Linked DNA regions of Lepisosteus oculatus. Each later gene encodes a partner of the first gene's protein in a complex. Links are inferred from orthologs where the notes say so. Each region holds a gene or a part of one and is shown in the gene's direction. Other genes may lie near its edges. The genes, in order: zmynd8 and dbn1.

What was found.
Region 2: the proteins of zmynd8 (region 1) and dbn1 are in contact, whole or in part, in a crystal structure (PDB 5Y1Z), measured with the Homo sapiens proteins. The link is inferred for Lepisosteus oculatus from reciprocal best matches to the Homo sapiens genes ZMYND8 and DBN1. Residues at the interface, in NP_001350670.1 of Homo sapiens: Gln167, Pro168, Gly169, Thr170, Gln236, Ile237, Val240, Lys243, Ile244, His247, Trp269, Leu285, Gly287, Phe288, Phe307, Gly309, Gln310, His311, Asp312, Ala314, Thr335, Lys336, Ser337, Ile338; in NP_004386.3 of Homo sapiens: Met1, Ala2, Phe6, Ser7, Arg10, Leu11, Leu14, Tyr17, Glu18, Asp92, Ala93, Cys96, Ala97, Ala99, Ser100, Lys104, Glu107, Phe108, Gln110.

The regions. Positions count from the first base shown.
Region 1 is NC_090711.1:7,660,091-7,667,402, forward strand, and holds the start of zmynd8 (MYND-type zinc finger-containing chromatin reader ZMYND8), read left to right. Parts: upstream 1-2,684; 5' UTR 2,685-2,979; intron 2,980-5,947; 5' UTR 5,948-6,165; coding exon 6,166-6,179; intron 6,180-7,312. Other genes in the region: translocating chain-associated membrane protein 1-like 1, read right to left, coding at 458-518, 2,160-2,279. UniProt on the Homo sapiens protein: Chromatin reader that recognizes dual histone modifications such as histone H3.1 dimethylated at 'Lys-36' and histone H4 acetylated at 'Lys-16' (H3.1K36me2-H4K16ac) and histone H3 methylated at 'Lys-4' and histone H4 acetylated at 'Lys-14' (H3K4me1-H3K14ac).
Region 2 is NC_090706.1:39,984,463-39,991,774, forward strand, and holds the start of dbn1 (drebrin), read left to right. Parts: upstream 1-3,339; 5' UTR 3,340-3,428; intron 3,429-3,441; exon of another isoform or gene 3,442-3,519; 5' UTR 3,520-3,555; coding exon 3,556-3,638; intron 3,639-7,312. UniProt on the Homo sapiens protein: Actin cytoskeleton-organizing protein that plays a role in the formation of cell projections. Required for actin polymerization at immunological synapses (IS) and for the recruitment of the chemokine receptor CXCR4 to IS.

The DNA.
Region 1 (7,312 bases):
CCCCTCAGTTTTTCCTAACGCATTTCTTTTGACTTCTGCACATCTTAACCCAAGTTGTCTCAGTGGGTAAACTTTTCATTGTAGTGTGCTACCAGACAATGCAACACCAAGCAAATGAAACTGGGACACTGGCTTCACTCAAGCCTTTTCTGAATGTAAAAAGCCTCTGCCATGCTCGACTTTTGTGATTATTCCCAGCAGCTGTAAGGACTCTGTATCAAACTTTATTGTAGCAATGCTTTAGTTTTATTAAAGTCCTTTGAGTTGAGTCCCCAGAAAAGTGCTATATAAGTGTAAAGAATTAATTATTTAACGAACAAAAAACAAGGAAATGTTACAGTGAAGTAAAAGGCTCTGAGGCAAAACACAAATAGCATATTTCTGAGATAATATTTAACCAACTTTACACACTGTAAAAGTGTACCCCATGTGTTTTTTATTAAAGTTTAAGACTTACCAAGCGTGTATGTCACATTGTATTGGACAGTAATAAACATGATGGCATATTTTGCTGTTACCTGCAGAAAAAAAAAGAACAATGAAGAAACAGTCATTAAAATGCTCTCTCTCTCCAATAGAAAAAATACACTCCAAACTAAACATTAAACTTGTATGAAGGGCAACAAGCATGAACTGAACATGTAAAATCGTAACATGAAGGTCCAATGATGTACTGCTAAAGTGCACGTAGTCAAGATTTGCTTTAATGCAATTTTCCAGGGCAGGAAAACCTAATCTCTGCCTGAGCTCTAAATGTGAATATTAAGAAAAACAATTGTGTCCATTTTTATTTGCTCTGATATTTTCCAATGCTTGGTGCTCTGTTTTTTTTTCTTCCCCAGGGAATGGCACACATAATCATTTTGTCTCAAACTTCAAAACTCCTTTGGATGTCAGTTCATCAATATTTTTATTTATATCCTAAATGGCGGGCCCTGACACTTATGTCTTGTCCTAATGTGGTATTTCTGCTTCTTTGCAAATCAGGTTACTGATGTGAAAACTCTGCATCAATGTGCAATGACATTATAAGATGATGCATTTCGTTTTAACCCCCTTTTCAGGCCCAGAAAAGGGCCTGTGTGACAGTGTGAGTCACACTGTCTTGTGTTTTTCTGGTGCCCTGTACAAACCCGGCTACAGATTTGAAATATTTTCAGAGCTGGCATGTGAGATAGCAATGGCTTTCAATTCTCACAGTTTCACCTAGTGTTGCCCCATTTTCAATGACTATTCCTGAACTTCCAGACAAAGCCTCTCTTTGTGGAAGAGTTTTATACGATGCACTACATAAAAAATGCATTGTAGCAGAAACCGCAGATAATATCATAATCCAGTAAATACAAATACAAATAAATTGTACTGTATCAAAAACATGTACACATGAAGTTAATGCATGATAATGCAAGACTGCTGAACCCTTTGGACAACTCGTGCAACGTCAGTTTTATGCTGTAAAACTAAAATTAGTAACTTTATGAATTAACAGAAGACATTTTAAATTTTAAATTTTAAACCGTCCAGGTGCCATTAGTTCATTCGCTCCAAAAACAAAAGCTGTGCCTCGCACCCTTCAATGTAAATAATGACTGCCGAGACGCGAAAACAAACATTTTGTCAAGTTCGTCGTCGTTCGCATTCGAAATATTACCATCAGTAACAGGTAACAGGCAGAAAAAAAATAAACGTTTAAAACATTGCTTTTTGCGGTTATATTTAGTACAACCCTAAAGCACCTGCAGTATGGCAAGGTACATAGCTGCATTTGGCACATCCGATCATTAATAACACTTTAACCATCGACCAGGCGTCACTGCCCTTCGAGTTAGCCAGCTACAGTACCTCTTAAAAACATATCTTCGGTGTAAAATGATATTTTGATGTGGGTGCCTAGCTGTGACATCAGCCCAGTAAGCTGAGGCGTTATATAAACCAATAAAGACATTTCTGGCGGCTCTGAACTATGTCCGGGAGCTCTTGTGTTCGGCACTCTGAACTATTTGCCCTGTTGAGAGGAGCTTTTCCTGTAATGTGACCAGGTTTATATGGCCGCGTTCAGTCTTAATGATCAGGGGGGGATAGTTTGTGCCCAGCCCCCTTGTGGCTGTCAACCGGGTGTCCTGCGTGCCGATCTGCTTTTTGTTGTTTCCTTACTGTACCTCAAACATGAGTCCCAGCAGAATGATCATGGCCACGCACGACACCATATCCGCGTGGTTCTGGATCACGAACTCGTGGCTCAGTACCGGCGGGCTCTTGTTCTTCTTACGGAAACCCATGGCTCTGGCTGACTCGGCAAGCACTTCTTCCCGCGTGTGTTTCCCAAAAACAAGACCCCCCTTTCCTCTTGCCCCGCCACTTCACTGTTGAGAAGGTGCAGTATTTTAGCATGAATTCGAGAGGATCGACAGAAGGCAAAATGTGCTCACAAACACACACACACACACCACGCACGCAACCACCGGACTCAGCCCGACGTACCCTCCCAGATTCTACTCCAGACTCCTCCAAGCACCGCCCACTGACGCACAGGTCCCGCCCCCCGCGGCAGGGACACACGTCTGATGGACGGGCAGATGGACCAATCGGAAAAAGGAAGCCGGGATGAGCGGCTGAGGCGTCCGCCAATCGTCACCCACGCTCGGTGAACCTGCCGGGCAGGGCAGAAAACCGTCAAGGCCTCCATCTCCGCTACGTCAAAGCTCTCTGACTTGAGTCGTCGTCGTCGTGTTGTCACAGCGTGCTGAAGCGCTTTATTTCCCCTTCACAACAAGATCGACTGCTGTCTTCTCCAATAAGAACGCGTTCATGAGCATTAAACCTTGCAGTTTTAGGGTACAGAAAAAGAAGGGTTTTTTTTTAGAATGAGAGTGGCCGATGGGGGTTCTGAATGCTTAGGAGGCACATAATCCATACACACACGTTTTTTTAAAGCATTGTACAAGCAAGACTGGGATAACACCGATTTCTTCACCAAAGGTTAGTAAAGCCGTTTCATGAAAAGAAACAAAGGGCTGCACTGATAGTCTAGAATACTTTACATTTCTGGAGAGATTTTGTATCGGGACCAAAGAAAACATTACACGGGGCGCAATGCAACTAAGGTTTGGTTACTCACTTCAGAGGAGCATTAAAAATCCTGTGCGATTACCGTTTCCTTAAATCTAGTTACACTTACAACTACCGAAGGGTTTTGGTATGTACAGAACCTTCCTGTTAAAGCGTTTGCAAGCTGCATCAAGTGAAGGTGTGAAGAGTCTCGTTGGAATGAAACTAGAATTCCATTTTGTGATTAAATTATTTAGATATAAAGGTCTGGCTGAGTGGTAACTTAAATAAATGAGCCTGTTCACTTGGACACTTATACACTTAATGTATAAGTACTATCAACTGTATGCAATTGTTTACATGCATAGCCATAATATGCAATGATAAGCAATTATATTGACATATTTTAGTTAATTACTGCCATGTTGCCTAGTGCGATTCCTGAGTGCCGCTGAATTCAACAGCCAGTGGCTGCAGAAGCCAGTGCATAGAAATGTAAATACAGACATGCTTTATATTTAAAAGACAGAAAAATTAATTCAGGGAAGTTGCAAAATCTTCAGAAGCAAAATCAAGTCATCAGTGCCTGTGTGTTTTAAACATCATGGCAGTGAGGGCTGGGCCTAAGAGGATGTCACCTTAAAGAGATAAGAGCTCCCTTAAAAATATCCATTGTGAGGACAGCATCTTACTATAAATCATCTTCCAGCTTGTCTGAAAAAAAAAGCTTCAGCACTCCCGAGGCTGATGAAGACTTACAATTCTCAAAGAGATGTGGTGTGTTCACTTTGAAGGCCTCAACACAAGTACTGTATTGTGCTCACCAAAAAAATGAGAGATTTTTGACAGCCATTTGTCTCCACTTTGTTTCAGTGCCAGGACTGGAGGAGACATTTTTAAACGCTGTGTATCCAGGTGTGGTTAATCAACAGCTGGGCAGCCTATGCACATAGAACACATTTATAAGCTTCAGTCTGTAAAAGTAATTTTGTGCAGTGATGGAGTGGTGATGAAGTATTCAGAATAGTAACTGAGCTATGTGGTGGAAAAGGTGTAAATGTAAATGACCACTCTAAGGTTCTGGTTGTTTATCATCTGACCCTTTAATTCTATGTATATGGAAGTCTAATGTGCCAAGGCATGAAAGAACACAACGTGATTAGTGTAGGATGTGAGAGTGCAGCCTATTTATCTATACTAGAATTTGCCTCAAGGTGTCACTATTACATTTAGGATCACAGAAAAAGGGCACAAAGCTATACAGTAAATAGTATTTCCTGCGAAAATAATGTTTCTTCTACAAGTGAATTGTAAAATTATAATGCAGGTGTATAGCAGTATTAGAAGGTGTTCAACACGTGCAGGTGTCAGAACATATAATTGCAGGCTGTTCAGTAATTAGTAAGAAGTCCATTTTCGACACTCCATTATAGGAAGGAGTGAGTGAGGCCAATACTTTAAGCTTTTAGACACCTGAATCTCACAAAAATTGTAAGTAGTAGCCAATGTATATCTCTATATGTTGGGTGCTTTTAAATCTGTTATGAATTTTTTTTTATATGATTGTTTTATCTTTGTGATTGGTAGAATTCCTTGTTCTTGCCACATAAATTAACTTTTATTATGCAAAACTATAGCAGTGCGGCCTGATATGTAAGAAATATTATGCCATTCTGAAATAAAATACAATTTGTTATAGATGCACAGTTTGAATTCACAATGAAAATATATGGCATGTTTGTGTTTAAATTATGTATAAAAAGCTTATTATATATTATTTATATGAAATATTATTTTATATTTACTTTTAAAAACATTTGTTTCACAAATGCAACAATACCCCAATAACCAATTAATAGAAATTTGTGAATCACATGTAAAAAAAACAAATTGCTGTTGCTGTTAATCAGAGTTTGTGACCCGACTAGAGGACATTGGCTACTTTTTGTAGCACAGTGCATATATTTCATGGGGAAAATAGGAAAAAAACAGTACACACAGTTCCACTTTGATTGAGGTAATGTCAGCCTTTTCTCCTGACATAAAACAACCATGACAGTACTATATTTAAATAATAATTTTCTGTTGGAAAACCAGAAATTACGAAAACAAAACAATATTTTTCATATAGAAAACAGTTCATTTTGGTAGATGTTTAGTGCTTGTATACAAATCTATTTTTATTTCTGGATTAAATCTAATACAGTATTTGATTAGTAATGCACAATCAAACTGTCTTTTTCTAAGAGATTGTAAGTAGACCAAGATCTAGAGAAAACAGTAATTTTGTGGAATCTAATGGGAATTAACTGAATTTGCAATACTAACATTTTGTGAGATGTTGTGTAATATTAGAAATATGCCTTTAAAATATAATATTTACATTCACTGTATATTGTCTGCATGTTTTTATATCTAATATTTCTGCATATATATAGGAAAGATATATATATATACACAAATAATTGTGTAGTTGGCCAGTTGACTATTTTGTTCTTAAGAATCTTATAAATGTAATATTTCTAGAAGCCTGGTAGATTTACAGATGGGCCTAAGACAGACCTTCTACAGACTGCTGTCACCATTTATTCTTACTCTTCATTCGTATACTTTTGCATTTGGGAACTTAAATTTTCTGTGGATTGTTAAAATAAAAGGGAGGGATTTCTTAGACAAAGGCCTTTCTCTCTGCAACAGGGAGGACGAGTCAGACTGCTCCTAGTTTTCATGTTTTGGGGAAATATTTTGGAAAATACAGTTAAATACAACCCAGCCAATGTAGGATGCAGTGATTGGTAACGATTTTAGAACATTGTATGTGTTCATTTGTTTGTAGGAATGTTTTAAAGTGTGTATTTTGTGATTTGGGCCTAGATCTGGCTCTTCTTTTTGTCCACAGAGCTGCTCCTGCCTGCTTGAGCTGAACAAAGATAATTACTCAGGAAATGTTTCAGCCAATCCGCTGCCGCTTTACATCCCGGTAGTGAAAAGAGGCCATTCAGGGTCTAGCTTCTATCTGGCAGTCTGATCATCAAGCTGAAGTGCCAAGCCCTTTCTGTCTAAGAACTGAGACTGTCCTCCATGTTTTATAAGTATTGACATAACACTGTGTTAGCCATGCATCCACAGAGGTAAGCCTGATTTTCTTACTTTTTCCTTAATGTACTGTTTATCTAATACCAGAATATTGTTCTTTGAGAGGGAAGCCTGCAAATCACACACCACAGCACTGGAACCAGGCAGAAGCAAAAGCAGTTTCTCTTGCTGGCTGTGGTCACATGGTTACTTAGCCAGTCTCCATTGCAGAGATGACCATGGCAAATCCTTTTTGCAAGACAGGAATATATGTAACATTTTCTTTCTGTTGATTTAGTCTTTTCTGATTGTGAGGGATCTCTTTGTAAGCAGATTGCCTGCATCATTGTTTGCCTGTGTCACATGTCAGCCTCAGATAAAATGGAAGTTAAGAAACAGATGTAGCTACAACAGCACAGCAGGGATCCCTGGGGGAGCAAATGGCTTACAGAGTAGCACACAGGTTTACATTTTGGTGTAAGGTAATGGAGAGAGTGTGCACAGCTTTTTGTTCCTGCAAACGACTGAAAAACATTGCTTTCAACTAATTTTACAGAACAGGACTTGAGGAACTGCAAGGAACAGTGTATTAGAGCCCTCTCCTGTCAGTGCTTTGCCTTGTATTGAAGATTTCAGCCTGCTTTACTAATGCACATATCGTACAAAGTGTAATTAGGTAATATGAATTTGATTGATGGGCGGAAGGTGGCTAATTTTTTTTTTGATGAGAGCCACAAATTAAGGAGTGCAATCTCAATAAGTGGCCTGAAGTTATGCAGAAGTTGACAGTCTGCTGTTCTCGTGGCTATTATCATTTTAAGCAGCAGTCCTGTTGACAGCAGCTGAGCTATGAGTGGCTTTAAAATGTAAGGATCTGTTGAAAGCATGAGGTTTTTAACAGTAAACATATGAAAGATCAGTTTGAGAGACCCACTGCAGTGCACATCTGAGAGTTTGGTTTGCTTTTGGCTCTCCTGTGTATACCTGTCGTTACTCATTGATAGGTGATCTCTTTTTAATGCAAAATTAAAAGTGAAACTCCAAAAGTGAAAAAGCTGTTTTTTTCAGTCTACATGCTCAGGTTCTGTTCTGCACAGCCTAACCTTTTTATTTCTCAAGCAGAAGGGGTTCACGCTGTTGTAACTTGTTATTATTGATTAGCAGTGCAGAACCTTTCTTTATTTAAACC
Region 2 (7,312 bases), on another chromosome or scaffold:
TGGATATTAGCATTACTTAAAAATGAATCAGTTCTGATCACTCCCACCATTTTGTTTCCTACACCTTCCACGATTCCCCGGAAGCACGGCTCCGTCGGCTCGCGTCAGGTCTGTGAGCAGGTGCAAATGCACGGCCCCTAGCTGGCAGCTTCGGTCAGTCTCGGGCTGAGAAGGGCAGCCCTTCTAATCACTCTGATGGAGGGCGGCAGCCCAGTGCTGCTGCACCGGGGGACGGAGGAGCTTGAAATCCGATGCTGGTCTGACATGGTGCGAGAGGAGGAGGGGGGGGCTCTGGGTTCCCAGCCCAGATTGCGCTGGGCAGATGTCTCCCCGAGAGTAATCAACATCACAATTGAAATAATTGGTACCTCCACCATCCGCCTGTCTGGGGGCTCAGGGATTGGCTGAGCACTGAGCACTAATTATTGTTAACCCACTTACAGAGAGAAGAGGCTGCAGGATGTGGGGTGCCCCATTAGGCAGTGGGGAGAGCCGGTGGGGGGAGGGGGTTCTTGTCTGTGTGTGTCAGAGTCAGGGAGAACACGTAACTGCCTGTTTACTACCTGATCTCTGTATAGGTTATATATACGTACATGTGTAAAAAAACGCAGCTGCGGAGGCTGTCTGTGTGTCTCATGGAGAGCAGGCTGGGGTATGCAAAAAGACAAATTCCTAATACAAGAAATTGTATATGGCCAATAAAGTGATCTTATCTCTTATCTTACAAAGTTAACAAAAACAGATGTGAAAATAGCAATTTTGTCATTTTTTCTAAAGCTCTTGATGAAGCGTAGGACACACGTTTCGCTCAGAGGTGGCACTCTTGCTCAGTCTGACACATTAAAACGTTTTCAATCATTTTCACCAAGTGAGGCTCTTTCTCTGCATAGTGTGAAGTGAAACAATGTGAAAACAGTGGAACAAATGAAAAATAAAAAAATGTACGCTACACACTCTGGCACATTGAAGTACGGTTGACAGGCGGTGTCCTACAGTGGTCATGACTGGTGGATGGTGATTACTTAACGTTTTAATGGCCTGGTTATTAGGCATGGCCCCATGGCAGAGAGTCTCCACGAGCTAAAGGTCTGAATTTCAGTTTAAATTTCACTAGGACTCATCTAAGTGTGCAGTACTCTTACAGAATCACCATAGACTATAAAACAAGTAACTAGCCCTGCTCCTGAAGACCCATAATGTGTTCTGGTGTTTAGTGCCAGTTAAGCTTTGAATATTAGTGGTTACTTGCTTCATTGAATGGTATAATGGAGTATGCTGGTCTCTTTTGAAGGACTGTTCAGGTTTAACTTAGGAGACCTTCCAAACTCTCTCTTCAGGAGTAGGGCTGTGGATGTAGGTTCTGCATGGTTACTGTGTTTCCAGAGGTTTTAACTTAAATAGCCACAGCTTTCATGTTACTTTCAATGAAGACTCGTTGAAAAGAGTGCAAGAGTGCACAACTGATCACTTCATATCAAGAGACAGAAGGGAGATTGGGTTAAGTTAAACATTTATGAGCTCACCGCCTTGGAAGGTAAATAAAGGGTTCAAAGACTCCTACAAAGCAATGATTTAAGGCCATCATAACAAGATCATCCCTACTAAAACACTTGGTTCACGGTAAAATATAAACATCCTCACCGATGATGTAATGTTCTTGGATGATTAGCACTAACAAAACTAGGTTTGTTTTTCTTTGTCAGCGAAGGTTACTTTTGCTGCAACAGCTCCTTGAATTCAGTCAGTTTCAGGGTTTTCTGGTGGAAATTGGAGCTCTTCATCATTGGGTCTCAACTTGAAACATGAAAGGAAACCAAATTCTTCAGGACCTAAGGATCAGAGAGCTGCAGTCCTGCAGGCTGTGTAGCCAATCTTAAATAGTCAATGAGCAAAAACCTGAAAAGTATTTGAACTCCTTTGCTTGAAGAAGGAATTAGGCATTTCAGAGCCCAGCTGGAAAGAAAGCCAATAGACACAGTGGCTCTCCAGCAGCAGAGATGAATATTCTCAGTATTGGAACATCGTGTAAATGTAGAACGTAAGAAGACAGAAGCTGAATGTGATATCCACAAGCATGCCTACATGTTGTAATCAGAGATTATCTTTAACATCGTGTATAAAGGGGACATACACGGTTCACATACTAAACATCAAAACAAACTGCATAACTCAAATTCACAAGGTTATCAGTGTAAGGACAATCATTTTGTATCAGGCCACCTCACTTGTTATTGATGGATGTGATGGACCGTAGGTAAACTCCTTATGCTGATTAAAATATGTGATCCACAGGGTTGATGGGAGCTCTTCACAGGCCAATGGCACGTGTGGGGAATGCTGGAAGCTGTACAAAAACTGCACAAGCATGATTTAGCGTACACCGGGTTGCAGATGATGCTTGGTGAAACTCTCTCTACCAGCATGATTCCTCTCGATGTTCCTGGACAAACCTGTGCACTGGTCTCTGATCCCTAAATGCTAAACATATTCCCAACACACCCACCCCACACACAGACGCGCATCAGGCTTTACATGTGGTGAACAGAGCCTCCCTGGCACAGCTGCCCCACCTTCACCTGGCAAGAAGGCCCTCGTGTGTTGTGTGTTGTCGAGCCTTCAGGAAGGTCCCAGTGTAGCTCCGTGCAGTCGGGCTGCCTTCAGTCTCTACAGGAGCTGTTCTGCAGACGCTGGACACTCCTGCCCAGAACATCACACCTAGACCTCCCTGTTGACCGGGCTATGAACACCACAGTTAGAGTATCATTCTGCACCCCTGCGCCACACTCGCGGACGTCCTTCAGGGACGTTCAACGCAAGGCCTTGATTCGTCTCTCAAGGGGACTCCAGCGAAGCTGTCCACTTGAGGTGTGGCTCCAACAAACCGAGGACACAAAAGCCTCTTTCTCTGGAGGAGTGGAGTATATCGGTTCCTTTCTGTGTATCCCTTTCTTCATTTTCACCGGGCTGGACAGGAACAAACTCTCCGCCGGTTCCGAGTCAACCTTCTCTCCCGCCAGGAGATTCCATACGTAAGCAGCTATGTCACTGGAGTGTGTCAGGATCCGTCGCAAAAATGGCTGAATAATCAATGACGGTATCCCCATTGTTCAATCACCGGTCTGTCAAAAAACATTGAATCAGCGACCAAAATCTGAATGTATTTTTTAAAGGCCAGCCTTCACCAGTAGAGCGATAGGCTTCTTTTGAACCCGAAGAAGGCTCCACAGCCGAAACGTTGTGTTTCCTTCCTTCTCTTTCCAGCAGGGAATAAACCTTTGCTGGCTTCTCTTGATTGTCAGTATACCCTGTCAAGAATGACATCATCAGCGCAGTCCATATATGGCCGGGCTGGGCCGGCGCTAGGACCCGGCGTTGTAACCTGCGCCTCCCCGCGGTGGTGGTAGCACTAGGACCGAGCAGAACATTAGGTTAGTGCAGAGAAGGACCGTCTCTTTGTTCCAATCTCGAGATCTGTCTCCCCGCAGCCTCACTCTCTCCTCTCCTTTTATTCCATTACAGTATTACACAGGTCTGGATGACTGCGAGGACAGCAAAATGGCTGTGAATCTCAGCAAGAATCGACTGGCCCTGTTAACAGCCTACCAGGATGTTATCAGCGAGACTTCGTCCACCGACTGGTAAGGCAAACGTACATAGGTATCCCCACCCGCTGGTGTGGTGCTGGGGTTTTATTATAAGGCGTAGGCTTGTGCAATATCACTGCCGAACAATGTGGGTACTGATGTCCACGGCCGGGGAATGATGCCTCATCATACTACTGTACGGTTTGCGCTGAAACGCCTCGGATAGATGCAGCAGCAGCCTTTCTGTGGATAAACTCTGGGCAGGCGATAAATGCTTTTGGCACTTGGGGTGCAGCCGTGCAAAATCAGTTACTTTGCATGTTTAATGACCGCAGTTTATGGAAATGTAAGCTGATATCACCTTACGTGATACGGCATGTTGATTTCGTGACAAACACCCCCCCCAACCTTATTGTACCCCCCAAAAGAGAAAAGGTCAGACTTTAACACCAGGGTTTTTTTAGAAAAAGGAAAAAAAAACACTTGATTAGCTTTGGGATTTGATAATGCTTTGCGTTCAACAGACAATTGATTCGTTAGCCATATTTTAGTATTTTTTATTGCACATAATTTTGCCTTTCTTGTTCTCTTTTTTTGGGGGGGCCAATTTACCCCCTCGTGAGTCCGTCACGCATTACGCATTGTCAGAAATCCGAGTAGCCGCTAATGTTTTGCAAGATGTACTATTGTTTGCTCTGTCACAGGCTGCTCTGCCTCGGATGACCGCTAGTTCAGGCTAATTTGTAGTTCCGAAGCTTTTTCCGTTGGTCTTTTTTTTTTTTGTCGTACTGGGCACGGCTGAGGAGGGGTCCACCTCGCTCCTGTCGCTCGGCTGTGCTCCCTGACAGCACCTCCGCGAGTGGTGGAGTGGGCGAGGCGAGAAGGGACCGGCTTTCGGCGCAACAGTCAGCCCCAAGCCCACTGGCTCGGCACACGAGTGTGTGGCGTGCCCTTGCATCCCGTCGGATCCGACGCCAACGGCGTAGTAACTTTCTGCGGCGTTTCAGCTCGGCGGTGGCGATGTTCCTCAGCCCGCAGCCCGTGAGCACCTGGGGTGTGATGGGCAGTTGTTCATGCCTCGTTAGAGGACGCAGTGTTTTAGCTGCGTTTCAGCGGATTGATGAGATGTTTCCTTGGCTGAAGACAGGAGTCAATCGCTGATATAATTATTCATCGGAGCGCAGCTGTGCCGGGGAGAGGGGACAGCAGGGTCTATAGATTTTTTTTTTGGGGGGGAGGGTAGGACTTTCCTTTTGAAAATAACCTAAAGGTTTAAACAGGATGTCCATAGAACCCATTTATATAGAGAACCAGGACTTTTCTATAGGATCTGTAGGTTGCTTTATGAAGGGTGCACAGTGAGTGTGGCGGTATAAAGACATGGAGATGTAATCCCAAAGGCTTGTAACAGGACTGCAGTATTTTGCTAAGGAGGACTGCTGGGAGGAAAGCTTAGGTGTCTACTTGTACTTCTACGAGAACGCAGCAGTTTCACTAGACTGTGGTAACTGTTGCAGGAGTGGCCCTGGTACTGTATTCACCTCTTGCAAGGAGACAAAGACAAAGACTCCTCCCTTTGAATAAGAGCTGAATCAATTTTTAGAATTGATGAGTTGCCTGGACATGAACAAAGTATATGCAGCAATGGGAAAATGAAGAAAACGTGTGACTATCTGAGCTGAACGTACCTACCTGCCTGTGCATAAGTTTATCAAGTCATCTAAAAACGTGAACTGGATCTGGCCGCTTGCATTGGGAGTCTTGTTTTCCCGTTGTAACGTTCATCTGTAGAGGAAACCCGGTTCTTTGCAGGTTGTTGTTTGTTTGTCTTTAATGGGATCAATCTTTTAGACAACTAGATAGGTGGTGGTTTTTGTCAGGTCATCTATAGGTCATTTCTGTACGATAAGAGTTTCTCCTGTGTGTATGTCGGAACACTTTACTCCAGTGCTCACATCCCTGTAGTGGCTGCCTGTTGACCTTTTACATTTGCTTTAAAGAAGCTGATGTCACTTTCCTGAAAGAAGACGTCACTTAAAAGAAGTGATATCTATATCCTTCATGGGTTAGGGTAAGGGGCTTATGTTTGTCCAGGAAATACTCCACACACTCCAAATCATTTGCAAAGGTCTAAGATCAGTGAGTGGATCACTGAGCATTGTCTTCAGCTGGTTGGGTTCTGCAGATTTCTGTGGCTCCAGATAAATTAATTCCATTTCACATTAGGACTGTCTCAAGTGAATATTATTTTAGGTTAAAGCAGTCATGCATAGCTGGACTGGGGCTGTCCTGCAAGCGTTTGTGTCTTGTTTTGAATGCGGCGCTGCTTTGTGATGTGCCTTGGAATGACAGTCGCTCCGTCCTCATGAATCTCGTTTTCACAGAATTGCTTTCATGCTGCTGGAAATGGAAAATTTGACATTTGTCCTCCAATGTGATCCGAAAGAATAAAAAGGAGTGGTGTGAAAATGGGGTACCTAATATGGACTCCAAGGTCTTCTTCAGGAATAAATGAAACGTCCTGTTTGTTCCTACAGTTTGCAGACACAGCTGGGGGGTCGTAGTCCCAGGTGTCACTGTAAAGTGACCAAGAGCATTGTAACCAATATCCAAAATAAAACAGTGTTGCTTATGCTTAATTCTCAATTAGTGTTGGTCAAACCTAACTCTGAAGGGTTTTTCTGTTTATCAGTATTGTAATTCTGTTTTTAAACTGAAACGCATCTGCAGAACTTCCAAGTAAGTAAATCTGGAATTTCCTTACAGCTCTGGGGTCTTGGGTGGGATTCTGGACTGGGATGATTTCTGAGTGGAGATGTTTCCTCCTGGTGCTCCAGGACCCTTCCAGTTAACTGGTTCGGTTAGCTGGGGTCTCTCAGTTGTCTCTGTGTGCTCTGGGCTGGACTGGCCAGGATAGGCCGCATGCTGTGTTAGCCCTCATCAGGAATGGGAGGCTTCTGACGGTGAATGGATTTCAAGAGGCCCTGTTGCCATTTTGTAACTGGGTTCTTAAAGCTTTGAACTGTTGTGAATAACTGGCACACACGGTGCTTTTGGGGGTGGCACTGTGGAGCAGTGGTTGGCACTGCGGTCTCCCATCACCGGGGTCCCGTGTTCGATTCCTGGGGTGCTGTCTGTGTGGACTGCATGTTCTCCCCGTGTTCATGTGGGTTTTCCTCTGGGCGCCCCAGTTTCCTCAAGCCCAACGACATGTGGCTTTCAGTGAACTGGCCCCGGTGTGGGTGTGCGTGTCCGTGTCTGTGTGCCTGCCCTGCGATGGACTGCTGTCCTGTCCAGGGTGTATCCTGCCTTGTGCCCACTGCTTCCTGAGACAGACTCCGGGCCAACGTGACTCCCGACTGGGCAAGCCACTGCTGGAAGTGATGCGATAATGACATAGATCTGGTAACATTTTAGGGGTTAAAAACATGCCGTGAGTGTCTTTTATGTGTCCTTTTGGTAAAACATCTGCACTCCGCCTTCTAAAAAAATGTAAAACATCTCACCAGAGAGAGGTATTTTTTTTTCTTAGTGGGAATTTCAGATGCCTTTTTTCCTCCGATGTCTTTTGCTAAGTAAGGTCCTGTGGGAAAGGGAGGTGTTGGAGTTTGAATCCAGGATTTCCATGTTAATATCAGGGTGGTAGCCGGACTGCCTCAGCCTCCACACCCCTGGCCTGCAGGGAAGTGGAAAGTCGCACCTTGGCCTTTTGTGGGCTCAGCCCATTG